Macaca mulatta: one gene and its partners. The protein of the gene in region 1 purifies or fractionates together with the protein of each later gene. This does not show direct contact. Links are inferred from orthologs where the notes say so. Each region holds a gene or a part of one and is shown in the gene's direction. Other genes may lie near its edges.

Region 1 (4,441 bases):
AGTGTGCTTTATTTTGCCTGTACCAATTCTACCAAGTAGATGAATTCAGTCCATGGCTTGCAGGCTTGGAGGTGGAGGTGGGATGGAGAGCATAAATTACATTTCTGCAGGTGAAACCAGAGCATAGTGAGCCAAAACCCCTTTCTACCTGGGTGGCATGAATGGGTCCAACTGCTACTATCCCCCAGGACGAGGGAGCAAGGCGGGGGGGGGGCAGGATGGGAGGATGGGGCTGCCTTGAGCCTCCTGCAGGATGACTGGCAACTACTTTCTTAGCGGTCCTTAAGGTCCAATCGCGGTTAAGGCACTAACTAAACTCATTCTTCAGCCTCCTTCTCTAAGTGCTCCTCGAATTGCTCAGTTTAGATGCCCAGAAGTAGGCTCAGGATCCATTCTCTGCGGCAGCACAATGTAGGTCAGATAGCATGAATGCAACAGCTACTTATGAACACAATAGCTACTCTGTTATTGCAAGGTATCCACAACCACCACTACAAAGATTAACACCTTGCTTTACTTGGGGGGAAAAAAAAAAATCATGGTCCTATTCAGCAGTTTCCCCATACAGGGAGAGTTTGCCCCTCCCCCACTCAACAAGGCTGTTCATCCCTAGGAAGTGATTGGAAGTGATTTGAGAGTTTTCCAAAGATTTAGGCTTTCCACTCCTCCAAAGCTTTCACAGTTCTACCTGGCAGAGGTGCGTGGGGGGTAGGGGAGGAAGGGCGCGAAGCTAAACGTCCCCGTTCTGCAATGAGCCTGATATTAGCAGAAACACAAGAGCGGCCTGCAGCCCCATAACCACAGTGCGTCCTTCCCCTTAGAAGTCTGGGGAAAGAAAATCCCTACGCCCAGCCATCATTTCCACTCTTGCGTTTTCAAAAGATCAAAAAACGGAAAGGACCGGCAGGTTGGCAAACCCCAAAGAGGGACCGCCCATCATGTCGGCGTCCTTGGGATCTCAGCAGCCGACGACCCCAATTCAAATCGATCGTGGGAAACCCCAGGGAAAGAAGGTTCACTTGCAGAGAGACAGGATTACAGGGTGCAGGCTGCAGGGAAGTACCGCGGGGAAGGGGGCCTGGTCGGAAGGACTTTCCAGCCACTTGGCACTCATCAAAAAGTTCCCTGTCCGTGACCCCAGTGGCTCATCGCAGGGAGTTTCTCCGACGAACCCCAGCTCAGGGTTTAGGCTTCTTTTTCCCCCTAGCAAAGGACGAAGCCAGTTCTCTTTTCTGGTCTGACTGGCTTGGAAATTCCCCGCGCCTGACCCCGCCCCAGAGAAATCCCCAGCCAGCGTTTATAGGGCGCCGCGGCGGCGCTGCAGAGCCCACACCAGCCCGTGCCGCCGTCCCGCCCGCCAGCGCCCTAGCGAGGAAGCAGCGCGCAGCCCGCGGCCCAGCGCACCCGCAGCAGCGCCCGCAGCTCGCCCGCGCCATGTTCCAGGCGGCCGAGCGCCCCCAGGAGTGGGCCATGGAGGGTCCCCGCGACGGGCTGAAGAAGGAACGACTGCTGGACGACCGCCACGACAGCGGCCTGGACTCCATGAAGGATGAGGAGTACGAGCAGATGGTCAAGGAGCTGCAGGAGATCCGCCTCGAGCCGCAGGAGGTGCCGCGCGGCGCGGAGCCCTGGAAGCAGCAGCTCACCGAGGACGGGGACTCGTAAGTGGCGCAGACCCGGAGCCGGGGGTCCTCGGGAGGGCCGGATGCGCGCGGCCGGGGAGTGGGAGACGCCGGGCCTGGAGCCCGACCTGGGGAACTAGCGATGCAGCCGGGCTGGCGCCGCGGCGCCCCGGGGCTCCTGCACCGCCCCGAACGCTGCAGGGCTGCAGGGCCGCGCGGGGCACCGGCCCGACTCGGAGGGGCGGCGGCTGGGCCCTGGTGGACGGCAGCGTCGCCACACGCCCCCTCCCCCCAGGCCTGTCCTCTAGGCCGGGGGCGGGGCGGCAGCTGGGACGCGAAGTCCCCGGTTGCATAAGGCGTTTCTGGCCGCTGGCGGGCGCCGAGCAGCCGGGAGGGGAAGTACAGGGCGTTCCGAGCTGGCGGGAGGGCGGGGCGGTCTGGCCGGCGCCCGCCGGGGCCGCGGGGGGAGGGGGGCGGAAAGTCCCTGGGCGCCTGCCAGGAACACTCAGCTCATAATAACCTCGCGGAAAACACCGCGGCCTCGGCCTCCAGAAACCCCGGCCTTGCGCAATCCCCCGCAGCCCGCGCCTCCCTGGGCCCCACGCGGTGCACTCACCACCCCTGGGGTTTTTCCCTCTCTTCCCCACAGGTTTCTGCACTTGGCCATCATCCATGAAGAAAAGGCACTGACCATGGAAGTGATCCGCCAGGTGAAGGGAGACCTGGCCTTCCTCAACTTCCAGAACAACCTGCAGCAGGTGCGCCGCTTGCCTGGCCCGGGCTCTCTAACTCTGGGATGGAACTGATGTAGCAAAGTCACCCCAGATCCTTTCTGAATTCAGGGCCACTGGGCATTATTCACCCTCACCTTTTACTTCACGTCAGCCCACATCCTAGAGAGTGAAGGAAATTCCACTGATTTGGTGAGGTCTTTGTGACCCACCTGGAGTCTCTGCTATTTGCCAGTCCTCCCCACCCGCCTGTCCAGGAGGAGCAGCACCCAACCAGGAGACACGGGTTCAGGGGAACTCAGGGTGTGGGTTTGGTCCCTGGCTTACTTTCTCTGGTCTCTCCTGCATTCGTAGACTCCACTCCACTTGGCTGTGATCACCAACCAGCCAGAAATTGCTGAGGCACTTCTGGGAGCTGGCTGTGATCCTGAGCTCCGAGACTTTCGAGGAAATACCCCCCTACACCTTGCCTGTGAGCAGGGCTGCTTGGCCAGCGTGGGAGTCCTGACTCAGTCCTGCACCACCCCGCACCTCCACTCCATCCTGAAGGCTACTAACTACAATGGTATGTCTGCCTCCCTGCCCTGCCCCACCCCCTCAGGTGGCAGGTGATGTGGAGAAGGGGCAGGTGGGCCAACTTAAGGAGTCGAGGCAAGAACTTAAACTGCCAGCATTTGAAAGGTTGAGAAAATACGTGTGCAAAGTGCCTGTTGGATGCCTTTATAAAGTTCCTTCAGAACCCAGACGGTGGGTTCTTAAAATTCAGAAGATATGACTATTTGTCCCATAAAAGAATAGGTGAAAGGAGTGAGGGTTGAAACAGGTGGTTATACTTTTTTCGTTTTGTTCTTCCAGGCCACACGTGTCTGCACTTAGCCTCTATCCATGGCTACCTGGGCATTGTGGAGCTTTTGGTGTCCTTGGGTGCTGATGTCAATGCTCAGGTTAGTGCTTCCTGCCTCCGATGCACTGAGTCAAGTTCCCCGTGCTCATGTTGTGAGCAGAAATTCCAAACGCAGCCATAAGCATCTCAAATTCCTTTTGGTTTCAGGAGCCCTGTAACGGCCGGACTGCCCTTCACCTCGCAGTGGACCTGCAGAATCCTGACCTGGTGTCGCTCCTGTTGAAGTGTGGGGCTGATGTCAACAGAGTTACCTACCAGGGCTATTCTCCCTACCAGCTCACCTGGGGCCGCCCAAGCACCCGGATACAGCAGCAGCTGGGCCAGCTGACACTGGAAAACCTTCAGATGCTGCCGGAGAGTGAGGATGAGGAGAGCTATGACACAGAGTCAGAGTTCACGGAGTTCACGGAGGATGAGGTGAGTCTGTGAACTCCTTGGGCTCTCTAACTAATGAGGGACCATTCCCTTCACCCTCCCGGGCCCCTAGAACTGCTCCTTATCAGAGGGGTATCTACATAATGAGTCTCTCAAATTTCTGTGCATAACCAGTATCCCAATAATGTACCTTTTTTTTTTTTTAAAATAGCTTACCCTTTTTTAAAGAAAAGCATTTTTTAAAACATTTTTAAAATGGGAGTTAAAGGCAAACTCCCTCAGCCTGTAAAGTTCATTGTATTTGGGCTATGGAGAATGGAGTCCAAGGGTTATTTCCAGTAGCGGCCTCCCCATCCCAGTGGCTTGGCAGAGCTTCGGAAGTTTAATGTGTCTTCTTTCCCCTTGTTTTCAGCTGCCCTATGACGACTGTGTGTTTGGAGGCCAGCGTCTGACATTATGAGCGCAAAGGGGCTGAAAGAACATGGACTTGTATATTTGTACAAAAAAAAGTTTTATTTTTCTAAAAAAAGAAAAAAGAAAAAAAATTTAAAGGGTGTACTTATAGCCACACTGCACACTGCCTGGCCCAAAACGTTTTATTGTAGTGGGATCAGCCCTCATTGTGTTGCTTTTGTGAACTTTTTGTAGAGGACAAGAAAGATCATTGAAATTCCAAGAAAACTTCTTTTAAACCTCACCTCTGTGGGGTTTTGGACATTAGCAAAAATTCATGGAAGGACCACATTTTATATTTATTGTGCTTCGAGTGACTGACCCCGTGGTATCCTGTGGCATGTAACAGCCAGGAG
Region 2 (3,918 bases), on another chromosome or scaffold:
TCTGCAAAGTCACTTTTGTCGTTAAGGTCCCAGGTTTGGGGGATCAGGGTGTGGACATCTTTGGGGGACCATTATTCTGCCAACTACAGTAGACATCATAGAAAGATCTATTTAAACCATTGCTGTGAGAACTGGGCTAGGCCAAACTCTTTAGATAAAGAAAACTCAGACACTTGCGGGGCATGGGTTGGCATGGTCTGATGGGGTAGACATGGCCTGTCCCCTGGGGCCCTTGGTCTGATAGGTGTATGGGCGTGTCTGGGCTGCAAGACATGAGACAGGACAGTGGTGGATGTGATAGATGGCTCGTTCTGTCTTCTTGACAGATCCCTCCAAACCTTCCATGCTCTGTGACACTGCAGCCGGGGCCCGAAGACACAGGGAAGGTAGGTTACCCCAAGGGGACCATCTCTCTGGCTCCAGGACTCTCAGGTCCCCAGGTCCCTGGCTTTCTCCCTGGGAGGTGCTGGACACACAGAACCACTCTCCCTGTTGAACAGTGTTAGGCTAAGCTGGTCCCACCTTGGACAACCAGTCTCTCTTTAGACAGGGCAGCAGGTATGGGGTCAGCCTCACTCTCCCATTAAGTGATGGATCCAGAGGCCCTCCTGAGTGGCGTTGGTTGCAACAGGACCAAAGTGTTCTGAGGACCTACACCTGGCCTCACGTAACCCCTGGCAACCTTGAATCAAGGTGTGATCATCCCCATGTCACAGATGGGGAAACTGAGGCTTGGATAGAAGTGACACCACTAGCTGCAGACCTTTGAGCCCAGCTTCCTCATCTGCAAGATGGAGATGACAGCACGTGCCTCCTTGTCTTATTAGAGGGATACCGGAGAAGCCACCCAGGGCCAGGTCTGCACACAGTAGTAGTGGGTGCCCCCAGTCCGCTCAGGTACCTGTTGCTATTTCTGGGCAGCTGCCTAGATGAGGATGGCCACCCAGACTGAGGCAGGAGTCCAAAGAGCAGAGCCCTGTTTGGATGATTTGGGATGTCCCATGTCAGATGGAGGAGGCAGCACAGCACTGGGGCTGAGCACAAGGGCGTTCCCCTGCTTCTTCCAGACCGAGGAGGGCTGGGCTGTGGGAGCTTGGTGTTCCTGTCCAGTGTCCTCGCTTGTTTTTTTTTTTTTTTGTTTTTTTTTTTTTTTTTTTTTTTGAGACGGAGTCTCGCTCTGTCGCCCAGGCTGGAGTGCAGTGGCCGGATCTCAGCTCACTGCAAGCTCCGCCTCCCGGGTTCACGCCATTCTCCTGCCTCAGCCTCCCGAGTAGCTGGGACTACAGGCGCCCACAACCGCGCCCGGCTAATTTTTTGTATTTTTAGTAGAGACGGGGTTTCACCGTGGTCTCGATCTCCTGACCTTGTGATCCGCCCGCCTCGGCCTCCCAAAGTGCTGGGATTACAGGCGTGAGCCACCGCGCCCGGCTCAGTGTCCTCGCTTGTAAAATGAGAGGTAGGCTGGCTGTGTACTGGGGACCCTGCTTCTCCAAGGCCCTGTGGTCAGTGACCCCTTCCCCACAGGCTTGCGGTGTGGACTATGAAGTCAAAGCCTTCTGTGCGGAGAATTTGGAGGAGAAGATCCACAAGCGGTGAGTAGGATGCCAGGGTGTGGGCTGCCTGCTGGGTGAGGGAGGGAGACAGGATGGGCAAAGTCCAAGAGGAGATAAGTAACAATACCTGGAAGTGTGTGAGGAGGGGCGCACATTCCAGCCTTGGAAGGACACTCTGGAAGCTGGGAGGTCACGGAGGGCTTCCTGGGGGAGGTGGCTTTGACTGCCCAGGTTCAGGCTGCCGCATCTTCTCCTTCGCACCGTTGTGGAAGCTTCCTCCCTCATCTCCCTGCCTCTCATTTCATCCCCTCCAGACTGCATGTCTTTTTAATTTGTTTTGGAAAAATCCTAAATTCAGATTGTGTTAAACCGTGAGCAGGCTGTTTCCTGACCATCCCCATTTTCCAGTTTTCCTCTTGGGAGGAGTTCAGCAGGGGTTGAGTGTGTGTCAATGGCAGCTTCTAAGTGAGGAGGAAGTGGAGATAGTGAACCCATCCAGGGCAGAGTGACAGGGAGCTCGGCCCACATCCGAGAGGGGAAGCATTCTCTGGAGAAGCACAGCCTGGGCAGACAGAGAGCCCAGGCTGGCAGCCAGAAACAGCTGGCCCGGATGTCTCAGGCCTGCCCCTCCTGGGTCAGGCTGTGCTCTGCCTGCCTCCTGGAAGAGCTGGTGGGCCCTCAACGCTGATGTTCCTGCATCCAGAGGCACTGTTCCCAGAGGAGGTTGGCTGAGGGCACAGCAGCCTTTTTAGGGCATGGGCTGAGTTTGCCACCTGGTGGCTATAGGGTGTATTGCATACATTTGCATCTGCAGCCCTGCCTGTGTGTGGGGAGATGGGACTTTTCTCCCTTGCTTCTCTGTCTCCCTTTTCCTCTTAAGACCTGAGACAAGGGAAAAGGAAGGGTGCTGTGGGATGTGGGAGGAGGCTTAGCAAGCACAAGAAAGAGGAGGTGACATTGAGAGCCACCCCTCTCACCCTACCACCAATGGGACATTTAAAATCCACACCAAGGAGTTACTAATAATAATGATATAGAAACTATCATTTATCAAGGGCTGATTAGGTGTCAGGCACCATTCACAGTGCTGGGCTGTACGAACTAATTTAATCCTCATAGCAGCTCTAAGAATTAGGTCCTGGCTAGGCGCGGTGGCTCACGCCTGTAATCCCAGAGCTTTGGGAGGCCGAGGCGGGCAGATCACTTGAGGCCAGGAGTTCCAGACCAGCCTGGCCAACATGGTGAAACCCCATCTCTACTGAAAATACAAAAATTAGGCAGGTGTGGTGGCACATGCCTGTAATCCCAGTTGCTCGGAAGACTGAGGCAGGAGAATTGCTTGAACCTGGAAGGCAGAGGTTGTAGTGAGCTGAGATCGCGCCACTGCACTCCAGCTCGGGCAACAGAGTGAGACTCCACCTCAAAATAAATAAATAAATAAAATTTAAAAAGCAAAAAAAGAGATAGGTCCTTCTATCATCACCCTTTACAGATGAGGGAATGGAGGCAGAGAGGTTAATGTACCCAAGGCCACATAGTTAGCAAGAGGAGAGCTGGGAGTTTGACCCTGGCTCCTCCATTCCAGGCAATGGAAGCAGCTTATCTGAGCAATGGAGATGCAGCATTCCCAGCATGCCTCAGAGACGGCCTCACTGAGTCTCCCTCCCTCACCAGATCCTCATTTGCTCCCTGATCCCCTGTAACCTTCGTGGAGCCAGTCTCATCCATGGCCCTTCTCCCCTCCCTGGGCTTGTCCCCTTCACTGGCTTGCATCCCCCTGACTGAATCCACACCTCCTCCCTGAACCCCGACGCCTCCCCAAACCCCATTTCTTCTTGGGACCCCTGTCCCCTCTGCGTAGTTTTACATAATAGATATCTGGCATGTGTTTATTATATGGCACGCACAGTTATAGGTGCTGAGAGTACAGTTGTGAACACCTTAGACACAAATTTCTGTCCTTAAAGAGCTTACACAGTGTCCTGTGTCACCAAAAGAGATGACAGAGGGACACTATTTGTGTAAGGTGACATAGGGAGGCGGGAAGTGACATTGTTACCTATTTGGTGACATAGGGAAGCAGGAGGTGAAAATGTAGTCCCTGTTTCAGCCTCCTGCTGGGTACCAGGACCCAAATGAAGTGCGGCCACGGGGCACTTCTGGGATAGAACAGGGGAGGATGGAATGGAGCCAGATAGTGACAGACCCCTATGCTGATCTCTGCAGTTTGGCTGGATTCTAAGGCGTTGAAGAGCCATGCCAGTCTCTTGAGCAGGAGAATGATGTGAGGCTTGCAAGGAGAGGGGATGAAGGCAGGTGACCCTGGTCCTCTTTCACTCCATCCATCCCCATTAGGAATTCTGTG
Region 3 (4,601 bases), on another chromosome or scaffold:
GGGAGGGTGAGGCAGGTGGATCACTTGAGGTCAGGAGTTCAAGACCAGCCTGGCCAACGTGGTGAAACTTCATTTCTACTAAAAATACAAAAATTAGCCGGGTTTGGTGGTGTGCACCTGTAATCCCAGCTACTCAGGAGGCCAAGGCAGAAGAATCGCTTGAACCTGGGAGGTGGAGGTTGCAGGGAGCTGAGATCGTACTACTGCGCTCCAGCTTGGGCAACGGGAGAGAAAAGAAAGAAAGGAGAGAAAGAGAGAGAAAGGAGGGAAGGAGGGAAGGAAGGAGGGAAGGAAGGAAGGAAGAGAGGGAGGGTGGGCGGGCACACGAGCCACTCTCTGGGACTTCTGTTACAAATTGTAATGGACTTGATGAAAGTAAGGTGGAGTAAATGAAAACAACATAAAGGGCACAGAACACAGTCCCTAGGACACTTAGTAAATATCAGGTTTTATTATCATTTGGAATGGAGGAAATGGGCACAGACTGGGGACATTCTTTTTTTTTTTTTTTTTTTTTTTTTTTTTGAGACAGAGCCTCACTCTGTCGCCCAGGCTAGAGTGCAGTGGTGGGATCTCCGCCCACTGCAACCTCCACCTCCCGGGTCCAAGCAATCCTCCCACCTCAGCCTCCTGAGTAGCTGGGATTACAGGTGCCTGCCACCACGCCCAGCTACTTTTTCTATTTTTAGTAGAGACGGGGTTTCACCATGTTCGCCAGGCTAGTCTTTAACTCCTGACCTCAAGTAATCCGCCCGCCTTGGCCTCCCAAAGAGGAGTCTTAAATGAATTTCACTGAGGGATTTCAGCAGATTTTCATTACAATATCCACCCTGAAAGTGTAGGGGCCAGAGTTCCACGCTGGTTAAACTCTGTTGCTGTGTGAACTTATACCTGTAATTTCCACCTCTGCACCTCGCATTGCTTGTTTTTAAACTATGAGAATTGAACTCGCGGCCGGGCGCGGTGGCTCAAGCCTGTAATCCCAGCACTTTGGGAGGCCGAGACAAGCGGATCACGAGGTCGAGAAATCGAGACCATCCTGGCTAACACGGTGAAACCCTGTCTCTATTAAAAAATACAAAAAACTAGCCGGGAGAGGTGGCGGGCGCCTGTAGTCCCAGCTACTCCGAAGGCTGAGGCAGGAGAATGGCGTAAACCCGGGAGGCGGAGCTTGCAGTGAGCTGAGATCCGGCCACTGCACTCCAGCCTGGGCGACAGAGCAAGACTCCGTCTCAAAAAAAAAAAAAAAAGAGAATTGAACTCTAAGATCCTCTGAAGTCTAGCAGTCCTGCTGGTCGAACCCCCTTTACTGTTCCTGCCTACACTCTTCCTTCCCTTGACGCCTTCTTTACGTAAAAACTACATTTCCCATGAGCACCCATAGGCGTCCACGTAGCGCAGCCCTCCGCCGTCGCTCGCGCCCTTTATACTCACTTCCGCCCGCCCGCCACTTCTTTTTCTTTCGGCGGAGCGCGGCGGCAAGATGGCCGTGCAAATTTCCAAGAAGAGGAAGGTGAGCCTCTGGGGACTGGGTTCGGGGAACGACTGCGCCGCGAGGGTCAGGGGCTTCTCGGGTGCCACCGCGAGGCCTGCAGCTCCGTGCCCTGCCCTGGGAAGCGGCTTAGGCTTCCTGGCATTCCCACGGGCCGCGGATGGCGGTGGATTGAGTGAGAGGCCCGAGCCAGGCGGGCGCTGTGTGGCCGGGTAAGGGAGAGACAGGTTTTTCTCTGGTTCCGAGTGAAGCGCAGAGAGATGGGGACCAGGCGCCCCTTCTGTCCCGGAGAAGGCGTTTGTGAGCATTTTTTGGTCAATGGAATTAGTAAACGTGGTATTTTGAGGGCGTGTGTCATTTCCCTCATGTCTTATCCCATGGTTTTGGGAAGGGGAGGCAGCAGTGTATACTTGTCTTCTTACTGGTCGAGTCTGGGTACAGTCTGCTGGTCCCACGACCTCAACATGAAGGGTTACTGACGATTGCTTGCTCCGTCTGAGGACCCCGGGAGGAAGCTGCCTCGGATTTAACGCTTTGTTATTCCATGGGAAAGAACTGTGTAAAAATCATTAGCTTTAAAAATAGACAGTTTGTCATTTCGTATACCTACACTTCGATGTTAAAATTAAATCCACAACTCTTGTGAGTTAGGATTTTCCAGCTCTGTTTACAGTTAAAACCACAGGTACCGTAAGGCCAGATAACATGGCTGGGATTCTTTAGACGGTCCAGGTTGTGTCTGCAAGTGAGAGAGCTTATGTTAAGTCCACTATCTATTCTGTTCCTTCACAGTGACAAGTACAGTGTCTTTGCTGTGCTGAGTGAGGTGTAAATAGGCTATTTTAGAGCAGTTTCTTGTTTTGCATGTGGAACTGTTTTAAACCCTTCGATGAAGAGATGATGACGAGTCTGACTTGGGGGTGTTGCCTTCGCCCAGGTTGCCTACTCTGTGCTGCATTCTGTGGCACAGTTTAAAGGGCCCTGGTTGAAGTAACTTCCTAAAGATGACCTAGAGGCATTTGTCTGAGAAGGGTTGCTGCACTCCTGTTGGAACAAGGGTTTGGAACCATTGGTTGGAGGTATTTAGTTTTGGGGAGGGATGCATTGACTAATAAGACACTGGCTCAGGCGAAAGTGAGCCTACACCGATGTCCTAATTTTGAACTTCGCTTTTTTTGGATTAGTTTGTCGCTGATGGCATCTTCAAAGCTGAACTGAATGAGTTTCTTACTCGGGAGCTGGCTGAAGATGGCTACTCTGGAGTTGAGGTGCGAGTTACACCAACCAGGACAGAAATCATTATCTTAGCCACCAGGTAAAACTCACTTGACTGGCCATCACCTATAATTGTTGTAAATGCTAAGTTGGTTTATTCCTTTTTTTGTGTGTGTGAGACAGAGTCTTGCTCTGTCCCGAAGGCTGGAGTGCAGTGGTGAGATCTCTGCTCACTGCAAGCTCCGCCTCCCAGCTTCCTGCCATTCTCCTGCCTCAGCCTCCTGAGTAGCTGGGACTACAGGGGCCAACCACCATGCCCGGCTAATTTTTTGTATTTTTAGTAGATTCGGGGTTTCACTGTGTTAGCCAGGATGGTCTCAATCTCCTGACCTCGGGATCCGCCCACCTCAGCCTCCCAAAGTGCTGGGATTACAGGCATGAGCCACCGCGCCTGGCTGGTTTGTCCTTTGTGAACTTAAGGGGATAGACAGCCAGTGAGTCTGGGCTTAGTGAATGTAATTGCTTCTTAAAAGCTGGATTTTAAGGCCAGGCATAGGATCGCTTGAGCTCAGGAGTTCAAGACCAGCCTGGGCAACATGCGGAAACCCCCTCTCTAAAAAAGATAAGGTTGTGGTGGTGCACACCTGTGGTCCCAGCTATTCCAGAGGCTGAAGCAGGCGATGGCTTGAGCCCAAGAGGTCCAGGCTGCAGTGAGCCATTGGTGTGATCCAGCCTGGGTGACAGAGAGAGACCCTGTCTCAAAAAAAGCTGCATTTTGAAAATTTAACTTTAGTTTTTGTCAATGAAAATTATATGCTTTGTGGCAGAGATTTTGCTACCACATATATATTGCAAGATTTAAAGTTAAATCTAGCATTTGTGAGAGTCATGAATTGTCACTTTTTCCCCGCCCAGAACACAGAATGTTCTTGGTGAGAAGGGCCGGCGGATTCGGGAACTGACTGCTGTAGTTCAGAAGAGGTTTGGCTTTCCAGAGGGCAGTGTAGAGGTGAGTGATTCTGGCGTATGCCAGAGATAATGGCTCTTCAGAATGATAACTTCTAAAAACTGGGAGACTTTGTTCATTACAAATGGACTGATACAACTTTGTTGAAATTCTCTTAATGAATAATGGGCTTAACTTTGTAAGCCTGTTCTGCTAATGGTTGATAGTTAAAGGATTTTACATTCAACTTGGGTATAGAAATGATGCATATGATGGATTGACTGTCCCCATTGGTGTAGTTGGTATGGCCAAAGGAGCCAGGGTGGGAGGGCAAGGAACCTGCACTGTGTGTAGGTGGTAGAAGTGCTTTAGGAATTGAGGGATACTGAAATTATATGCTGTTTGTGATGGTGTTGTGCAGTCTTTTGGCCTCCGTAGGCCACGTTGGAAGAATTATCTTGGGCCACACTACTGGTAGTGCAAAAAATCACGATGTTCAATTTTTGTTGGGCCACAATCAAAGCCATCTCCTGGGCAGCATGCGACCTCTGGGTTGGGCAAGCTTGGTCTAGAAAGTGATGCTTGTGTGACATGCCAAATTTTCAACTTTCAGTTGAAAACAGTGGTGATGGTAACAGGATGTCCCTTCCTTCCTTTAAAGCTTTATGCTGAAAAGGTGGCCACTAGAGGTCTGTGTGCCATTGCCCAGGCAGAGTCTCTGCGTTACAAACTCCTAGGAGGGCTTGCTGTGCGGAGGTAAGTGTCCTGAGACCTAATAATGGTCATGACCTTTTGTGTGTATCAAAATATATGTCTCCTGTTTGTTGATTAGCAGATGAACTGTTATAAAGTGACAGGATCTGCTAGTCTCCCAGGATTATAGTAAGATACTAAACCATGCCCTCACTGAATTGGCAGACTAGCAAGACTATGAAAGCAGCGAGAACC
Region 4 (4,526 bases), on another chromosome or scaffold:
GGTTATAAAATTCTTCATGATAAAATTATTTTCTTATTGTGATGGTGGCGGTGGTGGTGGTTGCAGTGGTGTGTGGGTGTGTGTGTATGTCTTTGGGGAGTGAGTGTGAGGTCATGGGAGGACTTGCTATGGGTAGATGTGTTAGGATGTGAACTCTTCTTCACTGGAAACCATAATCATGGTCCCAAAGCTCAGCTATTGGGAAACTGCTAATTGATGGAAAGAAAAGATGAAAATCTGATTCAAAGGTCTAATCATCTATGGAGGGATAAGAAAGTTGTAGCTTTAAATATTCGTTCAACATTTTATTCCTGTATGTGATTCGCTCTTCTATGTATAGAGGACATATCAGTGAACAAAAACAGTCCCATGTCTATGAATGGATTACTTTTCAGGAGGAAGAAGTAGACATTTAAAGAACAATCTTATATATTACATAGTAAAAATAAGAAAATAAATGTGCAGTGAGTGATATTACTGGTGGTTTTGCTATAAGTAAGTTATAGTATGTCCTTCTAAGAAGAGGACATCTAAGAGATTGAATTAAATTTAAGAATGACTCTTGCTAACATCAGGGGAAGGATCATTTTATGGAGAGAGAGGAGCAAGTGCAAAAGCCTTGAGGAGTCATAGATTTGATAGTTTAATTGAGGAGGTGTTTTTTACATGTGGAAAAAGCAGAGGAGATAAACCTTAACAGTATAAATAAAATAATTCAGATACCAAAGACCATATATTATGATTCTATTTTTATCAATTGATTAAAAACCCAAAGGATATTAGTGATTGTCTGGAGCTTGGGATCAGAATAGGAGTAACGGCATTAGGGTTTTTTTTTTTTTTTTTCAGGTGGTAAAAATAATTTTAAATTGTGTTACAGTAACAGTCATATAGTTCCACAAATTTAGTAGAAATTATCACATTATACACTTAAAAATGAGAGTGTATGATGCTATGTAAATACAACTCAGTAGCTTAAAAATACACAAGTATTAGTGAATCATGCAAATATTAGAGATACAATCACGTCATCCAGAGAGAAAAGCATGTGCGAAAGCCCAGGGGCAGCGGTGTGCTTAGTGCATTTAACATGGAAAATGTGTTTTGGGTTGGGGAACAAAAGGCAGGATAAATGATGGGTTACACGAACCTCTTGGTAGAAAAGCTTCAGTTTGTCCTCTCCAGTAGAAGAGAAAATAACAATAATTGCCTTGATGGGGTGAAATTTGTCCTGAGACAAAAATTAAGAATAAACTGTTTCAAATTACTACAAAGTCCATTTTATTCTGTCATTGGTTTATTCTTCTTGCCTTTCTTTTCTCCTTTCTCTGTTAAATATTAATTTTTGGTCCTGTTCTAAATCTCTGTAAAAGCAGTATTCTTTCTATTCCCGCTTTTCTTACCATGTCCCCTTCAACATTTCCAGCACTGCAGGATTTTCTGACCAAGAGGTTCAAGAGTCAAGACAGAAAGAAGCCAAGGGAGCAGTGCAATGGATTTCTCAGTAAAGGTAGACATAGAGAAGGAGGTGACCTGCCCCATCTGCCTGGAGCTCCTAACAGAACCTCTGAGCCTGGATTGTGGCCACAGCTTCTGCCAAGCCTGCATCACTGCAAAGATCAAGGAGTCAGTGACCATCTCAAGAGGAGAAAGCAGCTGTCCTGTGTGTCAGAGCAGATTCCAGCCTGGGAAGCTCCGACCTAATCGGCATCTGGCCAACATAGTTGAGAGAGTCAAGGAGGTCAAGATGAGCCCACAGGAGGGGCAGAAGAGAGACATCTGTGAGCACCATGGAAAAAAACTCCAGATCTTCTGTAAGGAAGATGGAAAAGTCATTTGCTGGGTTTGTGAACTGTCTCAGGAACACCAAGGTCACCAAACATTCCGCATAAACGAGGTGGTCAAGGAATGTCAGGTAGGCTCCAAGGTAGAGGAAGAGAAAGCAGAGAGCAGAAATGGTACCTGATGTGAAATCTCCACGTTTTTTGTCCTGCTTTATTCCCCTTTTCACCATAGAACTGAGAGCCCTGTGATCTCTTTCCAAACTCTTTACTTAGTTTCTGAAGCCTGAAGGACAGTGCTGCACATTGCTTTTATTTAAAAGAGTACATTTTTTAGCAAGGAAAAGTTGAATGAATGGAGAATTGCTTTGTAAGATAAGCTTTAATTGCCACTCCGAGAAGAAAGGTGTTTTTGAGAACATGTCTTGTTAGATGTGGCAAAAGTGGCAATGAAAGGAAGTCTTTCCTTAATGCAGGGTCTGCTTTTTCTCTAGGAAAAGAATCAGGCTACTCTTGATAAGGGGATGGTAACTTCCATCATCCAGTAATAAAGAATACGTTCATCTCCTCAGATTTTCCCCCATGCCATAGGTTCTAATCACCAGCCTCACTGTTTCTGTAAACTAGTCCCTTCTGAGAGCCATCCAATTTCTTCCTTGCTATCCTCTATCCAGGTGCTGAGAAAACTCATAACTTTACTCTGGTATAATTTCTTTCTCACAGGAAAAGCTGCAGGCAGCCCTGCAGAAGCTGACAAAGGAGGATCAAGAAGCTGAGAAGCTGGAAGATGACGTCAGACAAGAGAGAACCGTCTGGAAGGCAGGAGGAGACACCTCCTAAGGGATAATTAGACAGGAATCTGGGCAGGACCTTGGGCTCTATCACAAGGAGACCACTTCCCCTTTGCTGTGCTAGAATTAACAGTTATAGAAGTCATATGATTAGGTCTCATTTAATTCCTTCCCTGTTGGAGTTTGGGGGCTGGAGAGCAGACATATCATAAATCAACACAATATTTGGAAGTGAAGGCATGGAGGGAAATACCTGTGAAAATGCTTCCTGTGAATCCTGTGTTCCATTTGTGTCATCAAGTTTGAGGCTCCAATCCTTCCAGTAAACAACCTGAGGAAAGACCCAGGATTCCCTGTTTAGGTGGTTTGGGTAGGGGAATTTTTTTTTTTTTTTTTTTAGACAAGAGTCTCGATTTGTCATCTAGGCTGGAGTGCAGTGGAGTGATCTCGGCTCACTGCAACCTCTGCCTTCCCAGGTCAAGCGATTCTCCTGCCTCAGCCTCCCAAGTAGCTGGGACTACAGGCACGTGCCACCATACCCGGCTAATTTTTTGTATTTTCAGTAGAGATGGGGTTTCACCATGCTAGCCAGGATGGTCTTGATCTCCTGACCTCATGATCCGCCCACCTCTGCATCCCAAAGTGCTGGGATTACAGGCGTGAACCACTGTGCCCGACCAGGTAAAGGGATTTAAGAGAGAGAAAGGCAAGGTTGTTCAGGACAGGTGTCTATAATCCAAGCCTCACCCAAGCATCACATTTTGTCTCAGATTAGGCCTCAATAAAAGACTTGAGTGTATTGCTTTGGAAGGAGTTCCGGTTAAAAAATAGAAAAGCATGGCTTCACCAGAAATTGTGTATTGGCTTTTGCCTCGTATTCCTTTTGAGAACTCCCTGAGGAAAACAGTTCTTATCCTGGCTCCCAGGCTCATACAAAGCAGGCCTTCAACCAGCCAGACTGACTGCCTCTTTCTCTTCTCTTCTCATTCAAGAATTATATCCAGCTCGAGAGACAGAAGATTCTGAAAGGGTTCAATGAAATGAGAGTCATCTTGGACAGTGAGGAGCAGAGAGAGCTGCAAAAGCTGGAGGAAGGTGAGGTGAATGTGCTGGATAACCTGGCAGCAGCTAGAGACCAGCTGGTCCAGCAGAGGCAGGATGCCAGCAAGCTCATCTCAGATCTCCAGCGGAGGTTGAGGGGGTCATCAATAGAGATGCTGCAGGTAAGACTTGGGATGGAGCACCTACATATGAGATTAGGGGAAAAACACAGAGGCTGATTTTCCTTCCCTTCCCAGTCTCTAGGCTTTCTTCTGTGTGGTGACATTAAATGGTTCCTTTGGCCTGGCAGTGCCCCTTTTATGCCCATCATTTCAGGAGTCACAGAGATAATTAAGTGTATGAGTGGCAAAGGAAATTCCCTTTATTATTTACTTATGAGAGGCAGTGTAAAAATTTGAGCTTGGAGAGAAGATTCTTTGTACCATGAGCAAATTCGTTTTAGAACTTCCCCATCACATCAAAAACATTTCTCATGCCTGTTTACAGTCAATATCTGCTTCTACCTCCACCTCCTGGCAACCAATCTGTTTTCTGTCTGTATAGAATTGGCTTCTCTGGACATTTCAATATGAACTGAATTATACAACATGTAGTCTTTTGCATCTGGCATCTTTAATTTAGCATAATATTTTGAGGTTTATTTATATTGCAGTATGTATCAGCATTTTGCTCTTTCTTATTGCTAATACTATTCCATTATCTGAATAAATCATGTTATGTTTGTGTATTCACCAGTTGGTGGCTATATGAATATTTTCCAGTTAGGGACTATTATGAATAATGCTACAGTAAACATTCACTTACATGTCCTCATACAAACATGTTTTCATTTATCTTGAGTAGATTTTAAGAGTGTTATATGTTAAGTTTATGTATAATTTTTAAGTTGTTG
Region 5 (3,918 bases), on another chromosome or scaffold:
TGATTCGGTTCTCCAGGAGAGGCAGCTGGGCTGGTATGTTAAGGTCTCGCATAGTAGTAGAATGGCAGATTTATGCTTACGTCATCTTTTGATCATCTTTGTCTTTTTAAAGGAAAAATGGAGAGTTTTATTTTTCCCAAATCAGGATAACGATTCCATTGTAAACCTGGACAGTTTTGCCAGTGGGCTTTGTAACTATCTGTGAAGATGAAATTAGTGTTATAATTTATAGACCATGTGTGTCTTTTCACAGTAATAACTGAAACACATACTGTAGTGAAGTTAGCAGTTTTCTCCTGCTTGTAAGTTTCCATGAGTCTGGGGCTGTGATGATGCCGGGCCTGGCGAGCCCAGGCGTGGCTTGAGTGGACTCAGTGATTCAGGACTGAAAAGGAAAGCAAGGGAAGCAGGGCAGGCATGTGACAGCAGAATTCCGAGGTGGAAGCGAAATGAAGACTGTCACTCTTTGGAAGAAAAGAATATCTGGCTCTTGCGCTTTTTGCTAATTTTAATTGAATAAAATGTTCAATTCTTAATTTTATATTCAAGCAGGATTTTTATTTAATGTGCTTTTTAATAAAGAGCAACCTACATTCATCTGAAATGATTGAATTTTTCAATTTATAAACAAATTAATGTATTCCAGAATGTTCACTCTCCCCTCTCTTCCGCCCCCCAGTGGACTTCAGCATTCAAGTGCTGAGCTCCGGGTCCTGGCCCTTCCAGCAGTCTTGTACGTTCGCCTTGCCGTCAGAGGTAAGGATGGGTTTATCTGCCGTCCCCTTAGTGCTAGGTGGAGGGTGGGGCGGGGCAGCCTTCGCTGTGGAAGGGGATAGGCCTGCAGACGGCCTTCCTGCCGGCTGGCTGCGTCACAGTGAACCGTGAGGCAGCACTCAGGGAAGAGCCCTGTGCGGTGGGGCAGGTCTGGATGTCTAAAGGTGGGCTGGCTGGCCCAACTCTACACACACACGTTTCTTTATTGTAATTAGAGCCTAATTCGTTGTGTAATGAACACCTTGACGATGCTGGTCTTGAAGTATGAACCTTTTTTAAGATCGTACCTTCCAGTGCTTAAAGCGCTTTGCAAGAGAGGCAGACACCTGGCGTTCGTATTTTACTTTTATATAAGCACTGACTTTGTACTGTAGGCTTGGAACAGTGTGCTTTGCTTAGAAACACTGCCTGTAGGACGTGGTGAGATCTGTATTCCATATAATGCTGTCCTTTTATCTAGTTGGAACGTAGTTATCAGCGATTCACAGCTTTCTACGCCAGCCGCCACAGTGGCCGAAAATTGACGTGGTTATATCAGTTGTCTAAAGGAGAATTGGTAACTAACTGCTTCAAAAACAGATATACTTTGCAGGTAAGATCACGTTTGTGTCTTAAAATGTTTCTGTTCTAAATGAGCATAAGGTAAATTATAGAAATCATTAGCAGTTGACTCAGCAGCAGAATCTAGAATTCAGCTTCTGGTGAAATAGTGGCAAGTTTAAAGCATGGAGTTGTAAGAATCAGAGGAGCCAAATTCCAATTCTTTCTGGCTGGGGAACAAGTTATTTAATGATTGTGAGCCTCAGTTTTCTCCTCCATTCATGGGATGTTAGTGCTTATACTTGGGAATTGATGTGAAAGTTAAATAACGTATTTAGTTAAGTGTTTGGCACGGCTCCTGCCGGACACACATCAAGTGTTCAGGTAGTGACTTAAAACGCTGGAGTTGCGTGCATTTAATTATAACAGCTCTCCACCTTTGACAAAGCAGTCACATTAACAACAGTGCTTACAACGATATTGAGTATAACCTAGTTTATAACTGTGTAACTAAGAATATTTCCATTTTGTAGGTGAGAAAACTGAGGCTTGGGTTAATTGAAGTGAATTTCTCTGAATCCTAGCTTATCTGTAGCTGAGCCAAAATTTCAGTTAAAGTCTTTTCTCTTAAAGTTCAGGCTTGGCTGATGTGGTGGCTCATGCTGGTAATCCTAACACTTTGGGAGGCTGAGGCCAGAGAATCGCTTGAGGCTAGAAGTTTGAGACAAGCCTGGACAACACAGCAAGACCCCATCTCTATAAATTTTTTAAAGTAAAAAGAAAAAAAAACTCCAGGCTCTTTCTACTTCCACTTTTTTTTTTTTTTTTTTTTTTTTTTTTTTTGAGACAGAGTCTCGCTCTGTCGCCCAGACTGGAGTGCAGTGGCGCGATCTCGGCTCACTGCAAGCTCTGCCTCCCAGGTTCACGCCATTCTCCTGCCTCAGCCTCCGGAGTAGCTGGGACTACAGGCGCCCGCCACCACGCCCAGCTAATTTCTTTTTGTATTTTTAGTAGAGACAGGGTTTCACCGTGTTAGCCAGGATGGTCTCGATCTCCTGACCTCGTGATCCGCCCGCCTCGGCCTCCCAAAGTGCTGGGATTACAGGCTTGAGCCACCGCGCCCGGCCTCTACTTCCACTTTTGTACAGAGTGGGCTTCACAAGTAATGGCATAATTTAGTCTCTGAGAAGGTTTCACCAATAAACTTCTGAGAACAACTACAAGTCTATGTTTAAGTATTAAGAAACTTCAGAATGGGTTGTTCTGCAGGCTCAAGCTGCTCATTAATTTAAACTTTTCATAAATCTACTCTGACTTAAAATTGTTAAAATGCATAGTATTGTTACGCTGGCTCCAGAGGTCTTTATCAAGTTGAATGTTTCTTACTATATAATTGAAATTTTGTTTCATTTATCCCTAAATATTCGTAGAAGAATCCATGTGTTCGACTATAGTACCTGGAATTTCAGTGTCCAGTTTTTGACAAGGCGGAGGCTTTGCCTAGGGTGTGTCTGCCATGTTAAGGCAGCCAAGAGCGGGCCCAGTAGAAGACATTAGCAACACACTCATTCCCTTGCGTCTCTGTTCAAGGCCCTGGAAGCACTGTTGTCTGTGGGCCCCCCTGAAACGGGCATGTGGCATTTTTTGTTTGTTTCTCTTTTCATTGACTGAGGTCTTGGCTGGGCGAGCAGTGGCTGACAGTCATGGGTCATTACTTGTTGCTGTCGATTATGCAAGGAAAGAGGGAGAAGAGAGGAAGGAGTCTTCAGGGGCATTCATTCGCTCGCACACTCTCAGCAATCAGGAACCAACGCGTGCTACCTGTCTTTTAGAAGATACTTTAGGGCCGGGCACAGTGGCTCAGCCTGTAATCCTAGCACTTTGGGAGGCCGAGGCGGGCAGATCACAAGGTCAGGGATTCGAGACCAGTCTGGCCAGCATGGTGAAACCCCATCTCTACTAAAAATACAAAAATTAGCTGGGCGTGGTGGTGCTCGCCTATAGTCCCAGCTACTCGGGAGGCTGAGGCAGGAGAATCCCTTGAACCTGGGAGGCAGAGGTTGCAATGAGCTGAGATTGTGCCACTGTACTCCAGCCTGGGTGACAGAGCAAGACTTTGTCTCAAAAAAAGAAAACCTTTAGTGCACTTGCCATTTCATACTTTACTTACTTTTTTCCTACTTTCATAGTAAAGTACTTAGGATTAGAAAACCAAATATAATTTGATATTTGTGTTGTTTTACATCAAGAATGTGCCAAAAGATAATACTTCTTAGCTCATGTGCCAAAAACAGATTTGGAGGTTGATGCTTAACATGTCCACATATACCAGGTGTGTGTATATGTGATTTTCGCTATAAAACGAGTGGGGACATACGTATCTATAGTATATATCCACATAGACAATACATTTTTTGAAAAAACTTCAAATTATTTTAATGTTTGAAAACATGGAAGATGAATGACTTTGGGAAGATGTCGCATTGTGGTGGCATTGCCACGTTTTATATTCCCTTTTAAATAGATCTGCGCTTTGTTTGTACTTGTTTAAAGAATGTGTTTCATAAATAAGTTCTTCAAACTTAGGCCATGTATTTTTGGAGG
Region 6 (4,595 bases), on another chromosome or scaffold:
TTCAGCAAATTGTTTGGCAGAATCTTACGATATTTGTTTGAGAGGCCCACAGTAAGGTGGAAAGGGCTGCTTTGTTTTATATAAATTTAGGGGAAAGAGCTTCATCCTGGAGTCAACAGATTGGGTTTGAATCCTGGCTCTGCCCCTTCCTAGCTGTGTGTTTGGTTACTCCACCTCTCTGAGCCTTGATTTCTTCATCAGTAAAGGTAATATTCACCTCCTAGGGTTGTTGGGAGGGAGAATGAGAACTTCTAAAGTACTCGAACCTAGTGCCTGGGACACTATATTTGCAGGCAAGATGAAGGGGGGTGGGGAAGTAATAGGAAACAGACAGCCCAAATCGAGAGCCATAATAGTCTCTCTTAGTGCCAGTGCAGGCCTGTGATTCTGTTCTTAAAAACGTCTGGGGCAAGCTGCAGGAAAGATCCCAGATAGCCTATGTTCTACCATAAGCCTAAGGGAGGAGGACTCCAGGCATGGAGATTACTCATGGCACCTGCTAAGGAGAAACGCTACTGACCAGAGAGAGGTCCACTCATGTACTCGATACTTGGTGAATTCCTGTCCTGACCTCACTGCCTCTAGAAGTGTTCAGATGGAAACTGGAAGGTCTATAAGAGGCAATTTGGCAGGACACAGTGGCTCACGTCTGTAATCCAAGCATTTTGGAAGGCCAAAGTAGGAGGACCACTTAAGCCCAGGAGTTTAAGACCAGCCTAGGCAACGTAGTGAGATCCATCTCCACTAAAAATTTAAAAATTTGCCAGGTGTGGTGGTGTGCACCTGTAGTCCCAGCTACTCAGGAGAGTGAGAGAATCAGTGCACCCCGGAGTTCGAGGTTGCAGTGAGCCATGATCGCGCCACTGTACTCCAGGCCTGGGTGACAGAGCGAGACACTGTCTCAAAAACATAAATAAATGAAATAGGCCGTGTGCGGTGGCTCACGACTGTAATCCCAACGTTTCGGAAGGCGGAGGCCAGCGGATCACCTGAGGACATGAGTTCGAGACTAGCCTGACCAACATGGTGAAATCCCAACTCTACTAAAAATACATAAATTAGCCGGGCTTGGTGGTGGGCACTGTAATCCCAGATACTCGGGAGGCTGCGGCAGGAGAATGGTTTGAATCCAAGAGGCGGAGGTTGCAGTGAGCCAAAAGCGCCTCACTGCATTCCAGTCTGAGACTAAAAAAAAAGAGGCGATTTCCCACATCGGTGGAAATTTGAGCTGTTTAAACTCTGGATGCCTTTTTCAGTTCTAATATTCCAGATCTCCGTGGTGGATAAACACTTAATTTCCCTTCTCCTGCGCAGAGCTCCTGAGTCCTGGCCCGCTGGGAACCTATCACTTCTATAAAAGTCCGAGGTCCGGACTGTCTCTCCCGGAACCCTGAGGCTGATGAGACAAAGCGAGACAGGGGCCTGGGCCAAATGGAGTCTCCTTGCGGCCTCATGAAGGCCGCCAGAGGGCGCCCGGGACCGACCGCAAAAGCAACTTCCTTCCTCTTCCGCTAACTTCCCGGCAGCCCGCCGCTCAGGGTGGGGGCCCCGAGGGCTGGGGCCGTCGGCTTCCCCCTGGGGTTCCCCCGCTTCGGAGAAAGTCAAGCATTAGGCGCAGCCAAAGCCGAGCTGCAGCGGAAGCTCCCGGCCCAAGGTGGCGCTGGGTCAGCGGGTACCTTCTCGGCGGTCCCCTAGCCGGCCGAACTAGTGGCCTGTCGCCCCGCTGGTGGCCTGTCGCGCCTGGTGGCCTGTCGCCCCGCTCCCTACCCTGAGTGAGCCTGTCCCCTCTCAGGGGCGCGCCCGAGTCGCTCCGGGTTGGCTGCGCCAGTCCAGAGTTAAACTTTCAGCCAATGAAAAAGGGCGCGAGGCGTGACGCACGGAAACGTCATGGGAATTCCCCCCTCCGGGGGGCCGAGAAGGGGCTTTCCCGGCCCCAAGCCCTGCTGGCCGGCGAGGTGTCGCGACCGGTCCCAGGTGGGTCGGGCGCGGAGAGAAGCCGCAACCAGAGCCGCCGCCACGGTGAGTGGCTGGATTCAGACCCCTGGGTGGCCGGGACAAGAGAAGAGCGGGAGGAGGGCCTTTAGCGGACAGCGCCGGGGGCTGGAGAGCAGCAGCGGCGCGCAGGCAACGACACTCAGATCCACGTCGACATCCTTGTACAAAGACACACGGACCCGTACGTACACCTGTACCTGTGCTGGCGCACACACGGCAGCGTCCGTGCAGTCGCACTCGCACACACATGCACACGGAGACGTGCCCACCGGTGCACTGGTGCCTGCACCCACACCCTTCACGCACAAACTCAAGATACGCTCACCCGTGTCTGTACATCAAGACAGGCGCTGACACACACCCACACTGAGAAGCTCAGGACTCACCTGTCTACACACATGCTCGCTTGCACACTCATGTTGACGCCATGGACACACAACATGCACCCAAGCACTAGAGCCGAAACACACTTGTGGAGCTGTGATGGAGACACACGCTTGTATTGGGTGGGGAGCGTGCAGAGGTCTCCCTGTCGCCTGCGTGCCCAGAGCCGGTGCGGTGTGGAACCAGCTGCTGTTGCGAGGTTTGGGAAAAAGAGGAGCCGGAGGAGAAGACACTTTTCCCGCGGCCCCAGAATCGTGTTCTCGGGGCAGAACCCCGGGGCCTCCCACAGGAAAGAGCCCCCGCCTACAGGCTGTTCGAAGGGGAGGCCATCAGACAGCAGGAACGTCCCCCCAAAAGCCCCCGGGTTTATCAGCCGTGGCCTCCCTCCTGGCAGAAATTCCCAAGGTTGCTCCAGACCGGGGGAGGGGAGCGGGAGGCGGACTTGGCTCCAGACTGCCAACCTCCCCACGGCCGTGAGGGACCCTCCTGTTCCCTGCCCTGGAGGGAGGAGGGGGCTTAACCCCCACCGCGGCTCCCCTGACTCTCCTCTCCCTCTACCCGCTGAAAAGCAGCGGGAACCCGTAGACTGGCGAGGGCCTCCCGCCCCTCCCGTCGTGAGGGCGGTGCCACTGGCGTCATTTCCAGGCCCGCCCCCTCCGGCCCCGCCTCCCCTTGGTATTTTCGGGACTTTCCTAAGCTGCTCTAACTTTCCTGCCCCTTCCCCGGCCAAGCCCAACTCCGGATCTCGCTCTCCACCGGATCTCACCCGCCACACCCGGACGGGCGGCTGGAGGAGGTCGGACCGTCCCCCAAATCTGGGCCCCCATCTCCCGCCCACCCCCATTTAGATCTGACCCCCTCCCCCACGCCACTCCTCCCAACTTTAGGCGGGCGCCTAAAATTCTGGGAAGCAGAACCTGGCCGGAGCCACTAGACAGAGCCGGGCCTAGCCCAGAGACATGGAGAGTTGCTACAACCCAGTGAGTCACGCTGCCTGCCCCTGACCCGGCCGGCCGCCCCCCGTGTCTGTCCACCTGTCTGCCCGAGCCCCCTCTGCTGCCACACACCTGCATGCTCGCAGATGCTCTCAGCCTACCAGTCTGTCCATCTGTCTACAACTCTGCCTCCAAAAGGAGCTTTCTCTTGGGCCTGAGGAGGAGGGGGAGTGACCACTGAGGACTTGGAGATGGGAGGTGGGGCCGTGGGGGGCGCTGAGAGTTGGATGCCACCCCCAGTCTGTCTCCAAACCAGGGTCTGGATGGCATTATTGAATATGATGATTTCAAATTGAACTCCTCCATTATGGAACCCAAGGAGCCAGCCCCAGAGACAGGTCAGTAAGTTCACTAACCTCCTCTAGTCCTAAAGGTAGGGGGAGGGAGAGCATGTGCCTTCTGCCTGGGGGAAGGGCTGGGAGATAGTGGCTAAGCAAGGTCTCCCTGTCCCCAGCTGATGGCCCCTACCTGGTGATCGTGGAACAGCCTAAGCAGGTGAGTAAGCAAAAGGGAGGGTGTGGAATGGCTTCAGCTTTGGGGACAAATGGGGTAGTGGTAGCTGGCAGGCCATGGAGGAGCCATTGCCCAAGGAGGCCACAGGGGATTGGATGGTCACTGCTGCTGATCAGAGTGCTGTAGTTGTGGTTCAGAGCAGATACTACCAGGCACTGTGGTCACTGCTGGCCGGGGTGGTCTTCCCTGATCATAATGCTACTCTGCCCTTGGACCTTCAGAGAGGCTTCCGATTTCGATATGGCTGTGAAGGCCCCTCCCACGGAGGACTGCCCGGTGCCTCCAGTGAGAAGGGCCGAAAGACCTATCCCACTGTCAAGGTGAGCCAGGATGGTGCTGGAGGGTTGGCTAAGTGGACAGCACGCCCAAGGCCCTGACAGTCCCTGCCTCTCCTAGATTTGTAACTACGAGGGACCAGCCAAGATCGAGGTAGACCTGGTAACACACAGTGACCCACCTCGTGCTCATGCCCACAGTCTGGTGGGCAAGCAATGCTCGGAGCTGGGGATCTGCGCCGTTTCTGTGGGGCCCAAGGACATGACTGCCCAGTAGGTGCCCTCTACCCCTGGCCCCCACTGATATGCCCCTCACTCTCTGCCAGTCCTAAGCCCCAGCCCACCTCCATGAGCTTAGCATCTGACCAAGGGGAGAGAGGTAGGTTGGCCCCAAACCCAAGGGCCCAAGTAGAAACTCCAATGGCTTCCTTGA
Region 7 (3,629 bases), about 52 Mb from region 1:
TATAAGAGAGCCAGGGCAGCCCTCAGGAAATGGTCCAAAAAAAATGAAATGCACCTCGAGTAGGAGCCTAGCCCTGTACTTCCTAAGCAGGCTTGTAAACCCTCCTGCCACTGTCCCCCGTCACCTCCATCAAGCCAGGCCTTAGGAAATGAATACTACTCAAGAGCAATCTGTCTAGCAAAATCTTTTTTTTTTTTTTTTTTTTGAGACAGATTCTTGCTTTGTCACCCAGTCTGGAGTACAGTGACGCCATCTCGGCTCGCTGCAACTTCTGCCTCCCAGGCTCAAGTGATCCTCCCACCTCAGCCTCCCAAGTAGCTGGGACTATAGGTGCGCACCACCACACCCAGTTAGTTTTTGTATTTTTTGTTGAGATGGGATTTCGCCACATTGCCCAGGCTAGTCTTAATCTCCTGGGCTCAAACCCTCCATCTACTTCGGCCTCCCAAAGTGCTGGAATTACAGGCATGAGCCATTGTGACGAGCCTGTCTTTGTATTCTCTGTTGCTAAATCTTCTTGAGATTTACTTTAGCTTCCTGGCGTTAATCCTGTTACCCTATTCACAGGGTGGTAATGATAAATACATCTATTAACGAACTTAAGGGTGCATTTATTTATCTTTCATGTTGAATGACATCAAGTAAACGTCTCCTACAAAGATAAGACTTTTATAGGTTTCTTCTGAAGGAAGTAGCTGCTGTGAAGCAAACGTAGTGAATTGCTAATATAATTCTGTGCTTTTTAATATTTATAAATGCTCCTTGCAGGCATCTTCCCTGCTTACAGATCAATATCTTTTTTTCTTCAAGGGACATGGCTTGCAGTGTGGCAGGCATAACTTCTGATGCTAATGTTCTGACTAATGAACTAAGGCTCATTGCTCAAAGGTATGGTCATATATAGCATAACTGATGATACAGAAATTAGTTTTGATGTTTCTTTTTTTGAGATGGAGTCTCACTCTGTTGCCCAGGCTGGAGTGAAGTGGCGCCACCTTGGCTCACTGCAACCTCTACCTCCCGGGTTCATGCCATTCTCCTGCCTCAGCCTCCCAAGTAGCTGGGACTACAGGCGTGTGCCACCACACCCGGTTAATTTTTGTATTTTTAGTAGAGACGGGGTTTCACTGTGTTAGCCAGGATGGTTTCGATCTCCTGACCTCATGATCCACCCACCTCGGCCTCCCAAAGTGCTGGGATTACAGGCATGAGCCATTGCGGCTGGCCTAGTTTTGACGTTTCTAAGGAGAGCTCACTTTTGCAAAGATTAAAGTCATTAAAAATCTTTGAATTGAAAATTACAGATTTTTTTCAACCAAACTTACAAAATGTTACTTACTATGAGAATATTCGGATATTGACTTGTTCCCTCCCCTTCAAATTGCAAATGACTGTTAGGTTGTCCCCATGGCATGGATTGCTTTTCAGAGAATATTTTCCTTAGAGTCTGTCTGTGTTTTGGAGAAAACTACTAATATGCCAATCTCTTTATCCTAGGTATTTATTGCAGTATCAGGAGCCGATACCTTGTGAGCAGTTGGTTACAGCACTATGTGATATCAAGCAAGCATATACACAATTTGGTGGTACTTAATTTTTTTGAAAATGTTATTCCAAAAAGTTAAGACATTTTATGAGTTATAACCCTTTTGAGGTAGTAAAAAATTGAAAATAGACCCTTTGTTTTAAATTGAATTTAATTTTTTTAATTGACAAATAAGAATTGTACATATTCGTTGGGTACATAATGATGTTTCGGTACACATAATGATCAGATCAGGGTAAATGGCACATTAATCATCTCAAACACTTCTTTGTGTTGGGAGCCTTCCATATCCTTCTAACTATTTGAAACTAATGTGTTACAGTTAACCATATTAATCCTACAGTGGCGTAAAACACTAGAATTTCATACATTCTTGCTTCATGAATGAATGTGTTCCTCCGCCATGTAGATTACCCTAGTTTTATTAATAGGATATTGAAAGTCCAAAACAACATTTTCAGATCTGGAAACTAACTGCTGTTTACATAATGAAATTCAGTACTGGTCCTTTCTCTGTTCCCTCTCCTGGCTGTGTCCAAATCATAGAAACAAGTGGAATTTGTAATGGAGCTTATCTCTGGTAGCCAGAATACAGAACAGTTTATGAATGCTTAAGTTCACAGAGAAAGGTTTAGCTACATTCACTGAGCTCAAGTAACTATAGTGATACTAAATTTAGATTATTGATATATTTGGCTTTTTTTCTTTGTTAAAGGAAAACGTCCATTTGGTGTTTCATTGCTGTACATTGGTTGGGATAAGCACTATGGCTTTCAGCTCTATCAGAGTGACCCAAGTGGAAATTACGGGGGATGGAAGGCCACATGCATTGGAAATAATAGCGCTGTGAGTATTTTTGTTGTGCTGTGAAATCTAGCAGAACGTCTAATAGATGCCATAATTTTGCCGTGGTGATGAATGTAAACAGTATTTAAAGATAGCTGCCACAGCCTTAATGTGATATGGAAATATCTGTGATTTCTGTTGGGGACAGAGTTGCTGGTATAGCTAATACACTGGGGTTCGTTAACTACATTAATAAATGCTAATTTTCAGTTAGGAGTTGTGAAATTAGAAGTTGTGATTTTGTTTCACATCCTAGTTTACAGACCCCTTGAATTCTATGACAGACCCATTGGGAGACTGAGGACCTCAGGTTAAAGACACACTATATAGAGCATCAGTACCACCTCTTCTCACCCTGTGCCATGTGTGCCCTCCCTGTCATCAAAATTATTTATATGGGCCAGGCATGGTGGCTCATGCCTGTAATCCCAGGCCGAGGCAGGCAAATTGCTTGAGCCCAGCAGTTTGAGACCAGCCTGGGGAACATAGCAGAACCCCATCTCTACAAAAAGTACAAAAATTAGCTGGGCACCATGGCATGTGCCTATAATCCTAGCTACCCAGGAGGCCAAGGTGGGAGGAGGAGCACCTGAGCCGGGGGGACTTGAGGATACAGTAAGCTGAGATCATGCTACTGCACTCCAGTCTGGGCAACAGAGTGAGCCTGTGTCAAAAAAAAAAATTGTTTATACTTGTAATGCCAATAGTAATTCAGGCATTTTTCTTCTAGACCAATTCATGTTTCTAAAAAATGTAAAAACTTAAAATTCTGTGTTGATTCATGTTTTATAGGCAGCTGTGTCAATGTTGAAACAAGACTACAAAGAAGGAGAAATGACCTTGAAGTCAGCACTTGCTTTAGCTATCAAAGTACTAAATAAGACCATGGATGTTAGTAAACTCTCCGCTGAAAAAGGTAATCCATATCCTCTGCTTTAATGATTTCAGCTGAGCAAGGGGAATTAGCAGCTGTTAAGTTTTTTGTTTTTTTTTTTAAATATGGAGTATTGCTCTGTCACCAGGCTGGAGTACAGTGGCACAATCTTGGCTCACTACAACCTCTGCCTTCTGGGTTCAAGTGATTCTTCTGCCTCAGCCTTCCATGTAGCTGGGACTACAGGCTCACGCCACCACGCCCAGTTAATTTTTTTTTGTGTGTGTGTGTCTCGCTCTGTCACCCAGGCTGGAGTTCAGTGGCGCAATCTCGGCTTACTGCAAGCTCTACCTCCCAGGTTCA

Evidence for each region.
Region 2: the proteins of NFKBIA (region 1) and ARRB1 purify together in Homo sapiens (affinity purification with western blotting; 3 studies listed by BioGRID and IntAct, with this or other methods). This does not show direct contact. The link is inferred for Macaca mulatta from reciprocal best matches to the Homo sapiens genes NFKBIA and ARRB1.
Region 3: the proteins of NFKBIA (region 1) and RPS3 purify together in Homo sapiens (affinity purification with western blotting; 4 studies listed by BioGRID and IntAct, with this or other methods). This does not show direct contact. The link is inferred for Macaca mulatta from reciprocal best matches to the Homo sapiens genes NFKBIA and RPS3.
Region 4: the proteins of NFKBIA (region 1) and TRIM22 purify together in Homo sapiens (affinity purification with western blotting; 3 studies listed by BioGRID). This does not show direct contact. The link is inferred for Macaca mulatta from reciprocal best matches to the Homo sapiens genes NFKBIA and TRIM22.
Region 5: the proteins of NFKBIA (region 1) and CUL1 purify together in Homo sapiens (affinity purification with western blotting; 8 studies listed by BioGRID and IntAct, with this or other methods). This does not show direct contact. The link is inferred for Macaca mulatta from reciprocal best matches to the Homo sapiens genes NFKBIA and CUL1.
Region 6: the proteins of NFKBIA (region 1) and NFKB2 purify together in Homo sapiens (affinity purification with mass spectrometry; 6 studies listed by BioGRID and IntAct, counting the BioPlex papers as one, with this or other methods). This does not show direct contact. The link is inferred for Macaca mulatta from reciprocal best matches to the Homo sapiens genes NFKBIA and NFKB2.
Region 7: the proteins of NFKBIA (region 1) and PSMA4 purify together in Homo sapiens (affinity purification with western blotting; 3 studies listed by BioGRID and IntAct, with this or other methods). This does not show direct contact. The link is inferred for Macaca mulatta from reciprocal best matches to the Homo sapiens genes NFKBIA and PSMA4.

Annotation. Positions count from the first base shown.
Region 1 is NC_133412.1:108,520,292-108,524,732, reverse strand, and holds the start of NFKBIA (NF-kappa-B inhibitor alpha), read left to right. Parts: upstream 1-1,344; 5' UTR 1,345-1,434; coding exon 1,435-1,661; intron 1,662-2,271; coding exon 2,272-2,380; intron 2,381-2,707; coding exon 2,708-2,918; intron 2,919-3,208; coding exon 3,209-3,297; intron 3,298-3,404; coding exon 3,405-3,674; intron 3,675-4,044; coding exon 4,045-4,092; 3' UTR 4,093-4,441. UniProt on the Homo sapiens protein: Inhibits the activity of dimeric NF-kappa-B/REL complexes by trapping REL (RELA/p65 and NFKB1/p50) dimers in the cytoplasm by masking their nuclear localization signals.
Region 2 is NC_133419.1:75,669,681-75,673,598, reverse strand, and holds part of ARRB1 (beta-arrestin-1), read left to right. Parts: intron 1-326; coding exon 327-386; intron 387-1,524; coding exon 1,525-1,592; intron 1,593-3,908; coding exon 3,909-3,918. UniProt on the Homo sapiens protein: Functions in regulating agonist-mediated G-protein coupled receptor (GPCR) signaling by mediating both receptor desensitization and resensitization processes.
Region 3 is NC_133419.1:75,815,467-75,820,067, forward strand, and holds the start of RPS3 (small ribosomal subunit protein uS3), read left to right. Parts: upstream 1-1,453; 5' UTR 1,454-1,483; coding exon 1,484-1,513; intron 1,514-2,376; exon of another isoform or gene 2,377-2,524; intron 2,525-2,676; coding exon 2,677-2,807; intron 2,808-3,622; coding exon 3,623-3,716; intron 3,717-4,266; coding exon of another isoform or gene 4,267-4,314; coding exon 4,315-4,409; intron 4,410-4,601. UniProt on the Homo sapiens protein: Component of the small ribosomal subunit. The ribosome is a large ribonucleoprotein complex responsible for the synthesis of proteins in the cell. Has endonuclease activity and plays a role in repair of damaged DNA.
Region 4 is NC_133419.1:69,874,951-69,879,476, reverse strand, and holds the start of TRIM22 (E3 ubiquitin-protein ligase TRIM22), read left to right. Parts: upstream 1-1,492; coding exon 1,493-1,915; intron 1,916-2,504; coding exon 2,505-2,600; intron 2,601-3,564; coding exon 3,565-3,795; intron 3,796-4,526. UniProt on the Homo sapiens protein: Interferon-induced E3 ubiquitin ligase that plays important roles in innate and adaptive immunity.
Region 5 is NC_133408.1:188,608,740-188,612,657, forward strand, and holds part of CUL1 (cullin-1), read left to right. Parts: intron 1-679; coding exon 680-756; intron 757-1,234; coding exon 1,235-1,366; intron 1,367-3,918. UniProt on the Homo sapiens protein: Core component of multiple cullin-RING-based SCF (SKP1-CUL1-F-box protein) E3 ubiquitin-protein ligase complexes, which mediate the ubiquitination of proteins involved in cell cycle progression, signal transduction and transcription.
Region 6 is NC_133414.1:114,505,593-114,510,187, forward strand, and holds the start of NFKB2 (nuclear factor NF-kappa-B p100 subunit), read left to right. Parts: upstream 1-1,510; 5' UTR 1,511-2,019; exon of another isoform or gene 2,020-2,176; intron 2,177-3,028; exon of another isoform or gene 3,029-3,266; 5' UTR 3,267-3,338; coding exon 3,339-3,359; intron 3,360-3,630; coding exon 3,631-3,712; intron 3,713-3,828; coding exon 3,829-3,869; intron 3,870-4,108; coding exon 4,109-4,207; intron 4,208-4,283; coding exon 4,284-4,435; intron 4,436-4,595. UniProt on the Homo sapiens protein: NF-kappa-B is a pleiotropic transcription factor present in almost all cell types and is the endpoint of a series of signal transduction events that are initiated by a vast array of stimuli related to many biological processes such as inflammation, immunity, differentiation, cell growth, tumorigenesis and apoptosis.
Region 7 is NC_133412.1:56,691,577-56,695,205, forward strand, and holds part of PSMA4 (proteasome subunit alpha type-4), read left to right. Parts: intron 1-810; coding exon 811-888; intron 889-1,497; coding exon 1,498-1,586; intron 1,587-2,261; coding exon 2,262-2,392; intron 2,393-3,184; coding exon 3,185-3,308; intron 3,309-3,629. UniProt on the Homo sapiens protein: Component of the 20S core proteasome complex involved in the proteolytic degradation of most intracellular proteins. This complex plays numerous essential roles within the cell by associating with different regulatory particles.